3 linked regions of the Saccharomyces cerevisiae S288C genome follow. Changing the gene in region 1 together with any one later gene gives a genetic interaction. Each region holds a gene or a part of one and is shown on either strand. Other genes may lie near its edges.

The links. Genes that interact genetically often act in the same process or in processes that back each other up.
Region 2: mutations in ATP22 (region 1) and VPS70 together harm fitness more than expected from each alone (negative genetic interaction), as found in Saccharomyces cerevisiae (one large-scale study listed by BioGRID).
Region 3: mutations in ATP22 (region 1) and ASN1 together harm fitness more than expected from each alone (negative genetic interaction), as found in Saccharomyces cerevisiae (one large-scale study listed by BioGRID).

The regions. Positions count from the first base shown.
Region 1 is NC_001136.10:1,175,562-1,179,684, forward strand, and holds ATP22 (Atp22p), read right to left. Parts: upstream 2,614-4,123; coding exon 559-2,613; downstream 1-558. Other genes in the region: SBE2 (Sbe2p), read left to right, coding at 3,105-4,123. UniProt on the Saccharomyces cerevisiae protein: Translation factor specific for subunit 6 of the mitochondrial ATPase. Required for assembly of the CF(0) component of the ATPase.
Region 2 is NC_001142.9:655,753-660,661, forward strand, and holds VPS70 (putative zinc metalloprotease), read right to left. Parts: upstream 2,938-4,909; coding exon 502-2,937; downstream 1-501. Other genes in the region: ENT3 (Ent3p), read right to left, coding at 1-211; RSF2 (Rsf2p), read right to left, coding at 3,165-4,909. UniProt on the Saccharomyces cerevisiae protein: Involved in vacuolar protein sorting.
Region 3 is NC_001148.4:821,036-824,839, reverse strand, and holds ASN1 (asparagine synthase (glutamine-hydrolyzing) 1), read right to left. Parts: upstream 2,221-3,804; coding exon 502-2,220; downstream 1-501. Other genes in the region: YPR145C-A (uncharacterized protein), read left to right, coding at 1-150; ribosome biosynthesis protein NOC4, read left to right, coding at 3,417-3,804.

The sequences.
Region 1 (4,123 bases):
CTTCTAGTATATTCTGTACACCTAATATTATAGCCTTTATCAACAATGGAATCCCAACAAGTCTCTCAAAATACACCCATTTCTCATAAACCAATTGTTCAGGCATTTATACGTTTAGATAGCCCAGCTATAGAAGGCGGAGTTTTACCTCATGTTGCTCAATCTGTTCGTTTTCTTAGGTTTCATATGTGTTCTATGAACGTTCAGGATAATGTATTGTCATGCTGACGTATCCCATTCTGAGATGTAACGTCTGTACAAAACAAAGCTTCAGTAGCTCAGTAGGAAGAGCGTCAGTCTCATAATCTGAAGGTCGAGAGTTCGAACCTCCCCTGGAGCATTTTTGCCGAGCACGGTACTTTTTTTTATTCTCAGTAAATGAAATCCAAGGGCTCATTTATTTGAGAAAGTAAATAAGGTATTAGAGGTAATAAAGTAACCATGGGCCAAGAAGACATATTCATAAACTTATGAAAAAACTTTGTAGGTATTAATAACTTATGGGTAAATTACTATCTATGAATGAATATTTACTATTTACTAGTGCTCATCTGGATATTAATTTAGACTTTTCAACGTCTCTCTTATAATATTTGTACATTTATTAACATCATCATCATTAAATCTAGGCTTGCCATCTTCTTCGAACATATCTTCGTCAGTAAACAGGGTGCTATCAGTAGGTTCTTTAATGTTATTATTTTCCACCAATTCCGTCAGTAAAGTTTCGTCAAAGTTTTTGGGAAACGGCCAGCCTTGGTCTTTTATTATCTGTATCAAAGCCATATGCCTGATTTCAAAGCCCCCGAAGAGTATCTTATTGTACCAGGAGCGTGCTCCTTTTTCGTCTCTCATTTTGACATAATGCATTACCATTGCAGAACAAAATTTAAACGTTAAAGGCACCCCATTTTTATGCATCACCTGTAGCAATTCTGATAGTTCAGCCTGCGTTAATGTATGATTTTTATAGGCTACTATGGAAAAGGGACATAGCGTGGTAGTTAAAACCACTTTTTTGGCGAAAGGTTGAGAATAAAAATCCAGAAGAACATTGTAGGCCAGCCTTGGTTCACGAGCTTGGAATCTAATATAATTTAGGAAAACATTGAGGATTCCGGTATCATTTCTCCAATACCTGTATTTATGAGCTTCCTCGGAAAGAAAACTCTTGTACTTGTAATATAAATCAAGAAGACAATTCTTGAATTGACCACTTTCCAGTGAAACAGAACTCGAAGATAAAAGGCTTCTATACAGTTCAGTTAAAATTGGAACAGTCACTGGTGATCCTATTCGCATTGTGTTCGGTAGAATATTATTTTTGTTCTTCAGCTCTCTTGCTAACGTAGGAGCTGTCAAAGTCGTTGATTTTGAATGATAGAGCCACCCCCAAATCCCTAGGGCATTCAGAATATTAGCAGACGCCTTTGAGCTGTATGATGAGAGGAGATATTTACACACCAATTTCGGGTCACGAAAGGCTTGAAAAGATGCAATTAATTCACCCATTAAAAACTCCTTGAACAATTTATATTTCATCAGTGGGCTGCTTTGTAAGCAGGAAATTACATTGAAAAGCTCCTCCTGCCTATTAGATATTCGGAGCAGATTCAAGTAGTGGTGAATGGGAAAATTCAATATGTGTTCGTTTCCATCAATGTGATTAAGCAATCCTGAGCTTACAATGAATTTCAGTTCCTCTTGAAAGGTTTTGATGAATAACTCAACATTTCCACTTTTCAAAAGGTAATAAAGTAAGGTATTGTTGAACTTGACATAACGCAGGTTCTTTTGCTTTGCTCCATCTTTACCAGAATAACAGTGCTGTTCCAACTTCTGTAGTAGAGCTTGAATAAATACTTTAATGAACCTAAAATTTTTCGCCTTAACAAGGCCATTTACTAGAGCGATTAAGCTGTCAAATGTATGCAACTTCAGAACTTTTTCCATTATAAATTTTATGTTTGTCTCATCATGCAAAAATATTTGGAACGTGGCTAACTGCCTCTCCATCTCAGTTCCTTTTATCAGCCTATTGGTAAATCTCGTACAGTAGTTAGAAGTAAAGAGAAGAACATCACTTTTCAAAAGAAAAAGATAGTGATTAAAAGATTCTGATTTTGGAATATGATACCAGAACCATCTGTGGACCTCACCTGGTAGATAAAATCCAATTTTTCTTGCCACCTCTGGGTATAACTCGTGTTGATGCAAAATGATATCATATAAAAGTTTCTTCTTTTCATTTTCTGAGCAATTATTTATATGCAGGGCATTTCGTAGAGATTCAAAAAAAGAGGCGTATTCAGTTACTCCAAAAGTCTCACTTAATACAGTTTTCAATTGTCGGAGCTCGTATAAACGCTTCTGAACATTTTTCGAAGATCCGCTCTTCCTAGAACATGGCACCTGTCGTTCAAAATCGCCAAACTGCAAAGGTTCTGAACGATTTGATTTAATTTTCAATGGACAGTTTTTCGTAGATAAATGGCGCAGATTTGTAATAGGTAGAATTGTGTATGTCCCTGCGCTACCCATATGTTTAAACAGCGGTGAAGTGACCATTTGAGCCAAAGGCTGGGAATAGACACGGCATATACATTTTAACATGCCAATAAGAACATTAAAGTGAACGCTTGGAAGATTTGAAAGCCCATTCTTGCCAGTACGCCAATAAAGTGTGTCGCGCAGAATAGATCTTCATGTAATTCCTTTTTCCCTTTTATGCAATCTATAATGTTAATCAGCGTAGATCACTATATACGCTTTTTTTTTTTTTTTTCAGCTCCGATTAGAGAGCAAAAGAGATGTAACATCGATCCTGCTATAATTAGAATACAAGTGTTGATCTTTAATTGTACTGTTTCTGCGAAAGCTATCGAGCATTTGGCTGTATTCCACTGTCCATTGTATTTTTAACTCTCCTTTTTATCATTCTGAAACATAGAGCTGTTTTGACAAAATTCAGTTTTTTCTCAATTAGTGCTTTCATTCATACGTTCGTTACAAGCTTTGAATTTTAACTTTATTTTCGGGCTTCCACCTTTGCTTCATTATTTTACTTCAGCTCTTTAGCTTTCTGTGACATTCAATTTTATTGTATGACAGCACGTCGTTTGATTAATATAGTTCCTAATACGTCTAAGCTAGACCCTTTAAAGGAGGAGGACTCAACGCATCTGAAACAAAATCAACCTAAGAAGTTTTCCACAAAGGAGTTGATGCTTTCAGAATATACCGAACGCAAAAGTTGCAGCCTTCCGTTGTCTAAATCCCGATCAGGCAGTAGTGCATCCAGTAGCACTACAGGTTCGAACGGAAAGAATATTGGAACAAGACGCCCTAGCTCCAACCTAGATTTCAATTTCGCTAGCCAAGATGTTGTTAAAAATGTATTAGGTAATAATAATCCACACGTACCCACAGCGAAGTGCATTAGGCCAATATCAGATGATTCTATAGGTACATCGAGCACAGAGATATTTTCTTCATCGCACTCAAATACGACATCTGATTCTTTATGTACATCAGATATAAGCTCAGAAGAGGGTGAAATAGCAAACAGTAAGATGGAGGATAACTGCTTCTTCAAAAGTATGAGAGAAGCTGACCATAGAAGCAATATTACGCCCTTAAAGAAAAGCCGACCGGGATCAATACTACAGAAAACACGTACAGCAAGTAGCGCTGATAAAACAATCTGCTCAATGAGTACCATAACTACATGCATTCCATCTCGTCAAAATTCGGTGTCAACTCCTAAACTCTCCAGGACAGTAGGGCTGCCTGGATCGAGCAATACAACCAACAGTATAGCCGCATCACAAACTTCATTCATAAGCGAGAATGACTCTCCTCTTAAACATCATTGCATGAGTACCGCAACTATCCAAGAACCAAAACTCATGCCGATCACAAAAACGCCGTATGTGCATTCCAATAGTACTTCTGTAATATTACCATATAAAACAACCCAACTTACTCCTTCTCAACGTTACCGTTTAAGGAAAGAGCAAAATGACCAATCTTTGCGTAAAGCCATAAAAATGAAAGAAAAATTTTATGAAGATCAAGACGTTAACTTGGAACTTCAAGAGGGCGATGTCGACGGCTCGTTAAT
Region 2 (4,909 bases), on another chromosome or scaffold:
TGGACAAAATTTCTTCTCTTTCCCTGAAATTGTAAGTTCCTTGAGAAATCTGGTCCATTAAAGTGGATGAGGCACCCCAAGGCTCGTTGTTTGTCGCTTCACGAACTTTCCCCTCCATCTCAGTATAATTGAAAACAACATTTTGAGCTTTACGAAAATATTTCTTGGCGTCATATAATGACATGTTGGCTAATGTATCCTCTAAACTCATTCTTCCTAACACTAATTAACGATGTGATCTCCTATCGACGTCCCTACACCTTCCTGAATTGGTAATTTTTGCTTTCCTCAAATAACTGTATCTACAAATCATTTCATGATTCTTCTAGTCCCCTTTTACTTTTCCTAATCACCTCGCACAACGTACGGTGTGACATGTATAAGAAATTGAAGCCATGTTTATAGAGTATATACAAAAAAGCCTCTCATGGTTATTATTCAAAGTCACTCTACGTATGCAAATAAAATAAATGTATATACTGAGGTGAGGTACTTAAATGCTTATTGAAGTAAATAGCGAACGTTGCTGAATTGGCTTAGCAAAATGGTTAACCACTGAATGACCTCGTTTCTATCAATATCAGCCAATCCTTCGTGAAGGCCGGGCAAAACTTCCCCGACAGATCCCTCAAACTTACTAGGTGCTAAAAGAGAGTACTTCATCCATTCCCTGTCTTTCAGTCCTCTGTGTGTAATAAATAATTGATCAATTTGCTTTGATTTGCTATTGGATCGTTGCAGTTTAATATAGCTCTTGATTTTTTTGTAAAAAGCCCAAACAGGTAAAGCTTCCCTACACTCTTTATAGAGAATACCATTTTGTTGGTCAAATTGGATGCTATCTTCCTGTGTGGCAACTTTTAATAAGTCCAGAACCCTTTTTGCTAAGCTGTTCACTTCATCGTCCTGGGGAAATGCTGAAGATAGATTAGAGTGCCATGCGATATACCAGTTATATATTTTCTTCAGGTAAACATGTGTATTGAATCTTGCCAGTTCGTTTTCACTCAGCATCAGCGTTGTCAAACCTACAAACATGGCCATGGTGTTGTGTAACTTGTAGTCAGAATTGGTAAATTTTTCCAACCAAGTTGGGCTATCGAATACGGAGTTACTATGATAGACTGCGCCTGAAGTATCATTGGCATTAAACTGAAAATGTGCAGCGGGCACTCCAAGATGGTACTGAAATGAAGTGTAACTAGACAACCCATCAAGTAGAGAAATAGTGGCATTAGAAGTGTATTTCCAATGGTCGAACAATGACCAGTCTTCGTGCCCATTAAATTCCGTGAGCTTAGCAGCTTCGTATATCACGTCTTGTAAAAGTGGGTTGGCTTTACAGTGAAAATTTGTCCCAGAGATTGCATTATCTAGATTTAGGTATACCAAGGCCCTTCTCCTGAGAATCGCAGCATGAGCTTCTGCATAATCTGTAGATCCCAGAAGGCCGGATCGTTCACCATCCCAACTTATTAGTTTGATAGGACGCAGTGGCTTCCAACCATGCTTAAGTAATTTACTCATTCCTCGTGCAATTTCTAAAAGAATAGCGCTGCCACTATTTGCATCACCGGCGCTACTCGAGGCGAGCGAATCCCTATGAGCTCCGATAATAATCTCCCCCTCAGTGAATATACCAGGGATACTAACCTCTACACTACTCATTTCCTTGATGTTGTAAGTTAGCTCATTATGCAAATGGACTTTATCGATAGAGCTTGAAGGTCCAGTGAATGATCCAAAATCTTTTATATTACTACCGGGCCCAATTTGAAAACCCCTGCCATTCAATCTTTCTAAAATTGGTTGGACATCTCTAGCACTCATCGGCACCGATGGTATCCTCGGCACTCTCCCTACCGGTGACATATGTTCAGTGTCGGAATCCTTGGAGGGATACCCTGGAGTTGTCGGATCTCCTGGAGTGTCACTGAAATAGTTTACAGAATCTCTCCTAATATAACTTGGGTTTCTTGCTGGTCCATAAGGATAGTGTAAAAACCCATTTTCCTCAGTAACTTTACCATCGTCAAATGGGTCTGTATATATAATGACACTGGAAGCGCCATAAAGTTCTGCATTCTTTACCTTTAATCCAGGTAATATTTTACCCGATCGTACGATGTGGATTTTATCTTCAATATCAATGTTTTTCTTCAAAAGTAGCTTGTAATCACTGATGCTACCATAATTGCAAAACACGTATCGAGCAGTTACACTTCCATTTTTTGAATATTGATGGAAACCCTTTTGCCTTTTCCTAGCGTGAGAAGCAGGATCACCTTTAACTCTATCCTCGATCATGCTTGCTTCGTAGACCACTTTACCATTTTCTAAAGGAGCTACGTTAGTGTCTACTGGTTCACCTATCCATGGGTAATATTTTTCAACTTTGGGTTTGTACCCCATATCTAGAAACTCGTCCAAGGTATATTTAAACGTTGACGAATCACTTGCTCCGTTGCTCATGTACCCAGCATACTTGTATACATGTTCTTTCGCTCTATTTTCCTGTTGCAAGGAGTTCAAGTATATCCTATAAACCTCTGCATTCGTCAATCTGGAAGAGTGAAACCGCCGAAAGTCTCTTGATAAAGACGTCCTGGGAGCAAATGCGGCAACAAATCCCATGTACAAAAGGAGACTCGCTAGAATCAAGTACATAAACTTTTCCTTGTCCATATGTTCTTTCATTATTTCATAACCACTAACAATACTAGATATTGTATTACTTCTGCCTCTATTCCTGGATGTTAAAGTGAAAGAATCATTCATGCTTTCTTCATTGTCATCGCGAGTGGTCTCGCCACTATATTGTTGTAATCCAGTGGCTTCGGCCTCATTGTCATCAGGGTCTGCCATATTAACAACAGTTCTCTCCTTTAATTGACCTTCCTCTTTCTCTCTCTTTCTCTCTCTCTGTATCATTCTCATATATCTCTTACATTCTTAATTGTGCATGTTGAAATTGTTTTAATAAGTACGGCCCCTTGCCTTGTCAAACCTTTTTACCCGGGCCATCAAACTCAAGCAAACTCCGAATGGAACAATGCCTTTTTGAAGCCTGGTGGTATATTATGAAAGTTATGATAGTTCTAAGCTTTAATTCTGTAAATACTATAGTATAGAGACGGCCGCCATTATATATTTGTAAATCGGACTTATATTCTAGTGTTTCTTTTTTTCGTAACACTATAGATAGCTCTTGATTGCAAACCATGAGCGAACGATAATATTATAGGCCAAATTGGCGCATCACCCAATATTTGAACACCCAAATATAAACATTTGGAGGATAGACTTGCCGCTACAATTAGTTGAATTGTCTCATTTATATCGGTATTCGGGTCCATGGCCCTTTGTGCTTGTTCTTCATTTAGTGCTGACAAATCTAGGGCATCCTTGTCCTGCCATCTTAAGAAATCAGTGTACGATTTCAACACATCACACTCCTTCGGTATCAAGTTCATTTGTAATCTTCTCAAAATCCTTTCTGCTTTTAGCCATAAGACACGGTCCGAAAAATCCAATAATGCTGAGTTAGGGTTGTTGGCATTGTACCCGCGTGCCCAATCCTCTACACATTTCATGTATTCCGAAATCACTAATACTGCAGTGAACATACATGTGGTCGCAAATACAGGAGTATTGAAAATTCTGCGCTTGCCCTGTTTAATGTACGTAAAAAATGAAGTCCACGCATCCACCATATTCAGTGCATACTCGGTAGCTTCCCTCAATGAACCCATGTCATAGCAAACTTCCTCCAAAGCTTTATTCATATTGGACCAATCTTTCAACCAGATTTTCTCAATAACATGTGCCAGGTCCAAACACCGTCTCATTTTGGCAAACAAATATACCGGAATTATTAACCTCATTGCTGGATTGGCGTTTATTGTTGACATGCTATTCTCGGTAGGTGTCAAGATGCCACCATTTTTCAAATAAAGGTTTTCCCAGTATTTTAACATTGTATCGATCCGTTGTCTGGAAGTCATCTTCCACTCAATATCGTCCAACTCAATGTTATTGCTATTGGTGTTGTTATTACTGATCCTTGCGTTATTTCTTTCAATAAGTATTTTCTCATGGATAGATATCAACAATGATAGACATGTACTTAACGAAACCCTAGCATTTCCGTAAAAAAAACTATCGCCTGTAGAAAGAAACCTCAAACAATTTTCATATGCCTCGTTACCATTAGACAATTCAATCAACGAAAATTTCGAATCTAACGTTATTTTGTATTGACATAATAGGTCCGACCATTCATCGGAATTTCGGCACTGATATAATTCTTCTTTATAGCATGGAACACCACATTTTAAATCGACTGAATGAAAACAGCAATCAGCACCTACCAGTGAAGAAAATAAGTTAGATATAAGTAATACCGCATGGCAAGTCCTGATACGTGACTGCGCCAATACAAAATATTGGTAGTTTTTGTTCATTTGATTCGGCGCGTTGTATTGCTCTCTTATTTTTGAAAACATATGAGGACTGTTTTCATATTCCATAATATGATCACTCTCAATAGGCGGCTGGCATAGGGACTCTAGGGGCAAATTTAAACGAGAGGCCTTCAAGAGACGAATAATAGTCGTCAACTGACCATGCATCCCCTTGATCACGGCTGTATTTTTATTGAAAATACAGTAGAACGTTAGCAATACTAATGTCTGTATAACCCATAACTCTGTCGTCTCCGGGTTTTTCTCACTAACTTTCAAGCTTTTCCTAATTTGGGTGCTAGCTGCATTAGCTAACACTTTTGCATGCGTCGAATGAAACCCATACAATGCTCCGACCATGGAGATAGATAATAACAAGGGATAACTGTCCATATTAGGTATGATAGAAGGAAGATGAATAAATGAAAAAAATGGATGGAATTCTT
Region 3 (3,804 bases), on another chromosome or scaffold:
AGAAATAAGAATACAGTAATAACAAGGCACGATCTACTAATTGCACACGAAATGAAACAAAGGGCGTCGCTAGAGAGGAGCAATTCGATTAGGAATCTTCAGTCACAAGGTAAAAGGAGATCAGATTCAAAAGAATCTCGAAAATTGTAAGAAACGACATAAAAGAAGGGTGAAAAGGAGGGCATGCACTGTCTCCATCATTTTTAAGATTATTGGGTCTCAAGGAAGGAGGATGTATAATAGGAAATATCAAAGTCAAGAATAATGTTTCAAAATGATTTGCATCAAGATCGTTCGATACGCATATATACAGTCATCCACACACTTAATTTTTTAGCACTGGCGATAAAAAATGATTTATGAATAAAACTTCATCAAACTATTATGAAAAATATGTATTTCTATATTCTATTTATTATTATTATTATTGTTAGTGTTTGTTTTTCTATAAAAATATCTATAAGATTAATCCATAATTCTTTTTCTATTTTTTAATGTTATTTATTCGATATGTTTTTCATGAATTTGGGCATATCTACCAGAAGGATCTTCAGCACAACCCCAGTCGGCCTTTGGAATCCATCTCATAACGGTGTCAGCCACGGTCTTTTGAGGGAACAAAGCATCGAATTTTAGTCTGTACCAGAAAGCCTCTTTTGTGGTTGGAATGTCACTACCCCATTCGGCCTTTGGACTGGCAAACATTTCATCTGAAATGACTGCTTCGGCGGTATCTTTTAATCCGTCGATCCAGGAGTAACCAACACCGTCGGAAAATTGTTCTTTTTGTCTCCATAAAATTTCTTCTGGTAAATATGGCTTAGCATCTGGTTCTCCTGTGGTGTCGAATGCCTTCCTTAGAATGTACTTTTCAATACGTCCTTCCTTTGGTTTAATCATCTTTTCATTTGGATCGATGTTCATACACAATTGCAAAAATTCTCTGTCTAAGAATGGAACACGAGCTTCTAGACCCCAAGCCATCGTAGACTTGTTAGCTCTCAAACAATCTGCCAAATGCAAGTTCTTGACACGTTGCACGGATTCAGTGTGAAATTCTGCCGCAGAAGGAGCTTGTGCGAAATATAGATAACCACCGAAGATTTCATCGGAACCTTCACCGGAAAGAACCATCTTGACCCCTTGGGCCTTAATCTTTCTGGATAGTAAGAACATTGGAGTGGAAGCTCTGATAGTGGTAACGTCGTAAGTTTCCAAATGGTAGATCACGTCGTCCAAAGCATCCAAACCTTCTTGTAATGTAAAGGTGTGTTCATGATGAATAGAGCCGATGAATTTGGCAACCTTTCTTGCGGCTTGCAAATCTGGAGCATTTGGTAAACCGATGGCAAAGGAATGGAGACTTGTCCAACCAGCAGTGTGTAGCTTACCGTCATCGTCGATACCTGCTAGATGTCTTGCCTTACTATCGTAAGTTGATGGTTCGACATCGTTAGTGGCCTTTGCAGTTTCACGGGCAGCAATGGAAGCGATTAAAGAGGAGTCCAAACCACCCGACAATAGAACACCGTATGGGACTTCGGCCATTAATCTCTTTCTAACGGCTTTTTCTAAGGAGTGTCTAATTGCCATGTAATCTATTGGGGTGGAAGGAATGCGTTTTTCGTCCAGCCAATCTGGTGTGAAGTAACGGGTGATCTTGTCAGTCTTAGAATCGTATACGTGGCCCGGTGGGAATGCAGTGATAGTGTCACAGTCGTCAGTCAAACATTTTAGTTCGGATGCAAAATAAACGGTCTTTGGAGAAGCGGAAGAGCGTCCCATATATAATGTCGTAATACCGATTGGGTCTCTGGCTGCCACAATACGATCTTGTTTAGCGTCGTAAAGAGTCCAAGCAAACATACCATCCAAGTACTTAGGAGCGTCGATATCGTGCTTTAAGTACATTGGGATGATAGGCTCACAGTCACTCAGTGTTCCAAACTCGTAGTCTGCGCATTCTTCTCTTAATTGAATGTGGTTGTAGATTTCACCGTTAACACATAGCATGTACTCTCCGTCTGAAGAAGTAATTGGTTGAGCACCGGATTCCACACCGACAATGGCTAGTCTTTCATGAACAAATATAGTGGAGTTCTTGATAGCATTACCGGACCAATCTGGACCACGGTGTCTGATTCTTTTTGATAGTTGTAGAGCCTTTGGCTTATATCTATGCACGTCTTCGTGCCTGAAAGCGGCGAAAATACCACACATCTTAAGTTACGTCCGATTTATATCCTTAGCGTAAAGCAAGTTATACTTTTTCTTATTTTATTATGTAAAGGTAAGAAGAGTATGCGATCAGGGTCCAAACAGAATCTGTCTCCTAGTGGCGTTCACTATAGGGTTATATATGCGTATCTATAAATGCGCATAAATTCAAGAACGAACTATTTGTCATCTCGAGTGGGCAGCAAATTTTCAGTTTACAGAATGAGTCAAATGTTACATGAGTTAAGGCTCTTTTCCTTGTGCTCTCTCTCTCTGTCTGAGCCTGCCAAATGATAACAGTCATAGGCCCTGTACCTAATTTGCCGTCCACGGCAGCAGTACTGCTGCCGTGTGATTGGTGGATAGATAGTGCCAGCGATAAGAAACGGTAGTTGATGCCCGAAGGTGCTTTCCAGCGCAGAAAGACAGACCCCAGGCGTATTTGCGCTCACGTTGCACGAACACGGGCGGCATTCGTGATGACAATAGATTTAATTTAGATATGCACTGGTTTCCACAGAGACCAATCGACAGTCTTCCATGCAAGGTCACTTATTGTTAACGGCAAGTTTCCCTGGATGTCCGCTTTAAAACTGTTTCGGCACGGTTTAAAGGACACAAGTTTTGACTAGTCTACAATTTAAGAACATATAAAAAGCTACTTGTGTACAGATGAGATGACTACTCCCAAGTCAAAAACAACAAAAGAATGAAAGAAAAAAGAATCAGAATTTTATAAAAGCGTCCTTGTCATTCTTAAGAATGTAACAAGATCAATGGGTTGCGCAGGAACCGCTATCTCCATTAAAACCTCAGATCGCTCCGAGAAGAATTGTTCGATTTGAAACGCAAATAATATCATCGTATTCTTTTAAAAACTTGGAAGGTCATTGGTTTCTTTAAATGAAACCTCCAAAGAAAATCTAACGCGTCTTGGTAAAATATATGTACCGAGTGTTTCGCTTTTTATACCTGTTAAATGAAAATCGAAAAAAAAGAAAAAGAAAAAAGTTTTTCAGCACTTCTCTACGGGTAATCCTCGTATTTGAAGGTTTAGGGCTATTCTTGAAATTTTTCACTAAAATTTTCCAACTGAGAAAAAAAAAAGTGTATTACGGTTTTGATGAGATGAGATGAGATGTAATTATCATCCTCTATTGCCATGAAGAGAGATCTATTAAAAAGAAACGTCAAAGAATATGGTATTGCTTATATCAGAAATTAAAGATATTGCCAAGAGGCTGACTGCTGCGGGTGACAGAAAGCAGTACAACTCCATTATCAAGTTAATCAATGAACTAGTGATTCCAGAAAATGTTACTCAATTGGAAGAAGATGAGACAGAAAAAAATTTGAGATTTCTGGTTATGTCGCTATTCCAGATATTTAGAAAGCTGTTTTCCCGCGGCGACTTGACCCTTCCTTCGTCCAAAAAGAGCACATTAGAGAAGGAACAGTTTGTTAATTGGTGTAGAAAGGTGTATGAAGCGTTCAAGACGAAGCTGTTAGCTATCATTTCGGACATACCTTTCGAAACATCACTTGGGTTAGATTCGCTTGATGTCTATCTTCAACTTGCAGAGCTGG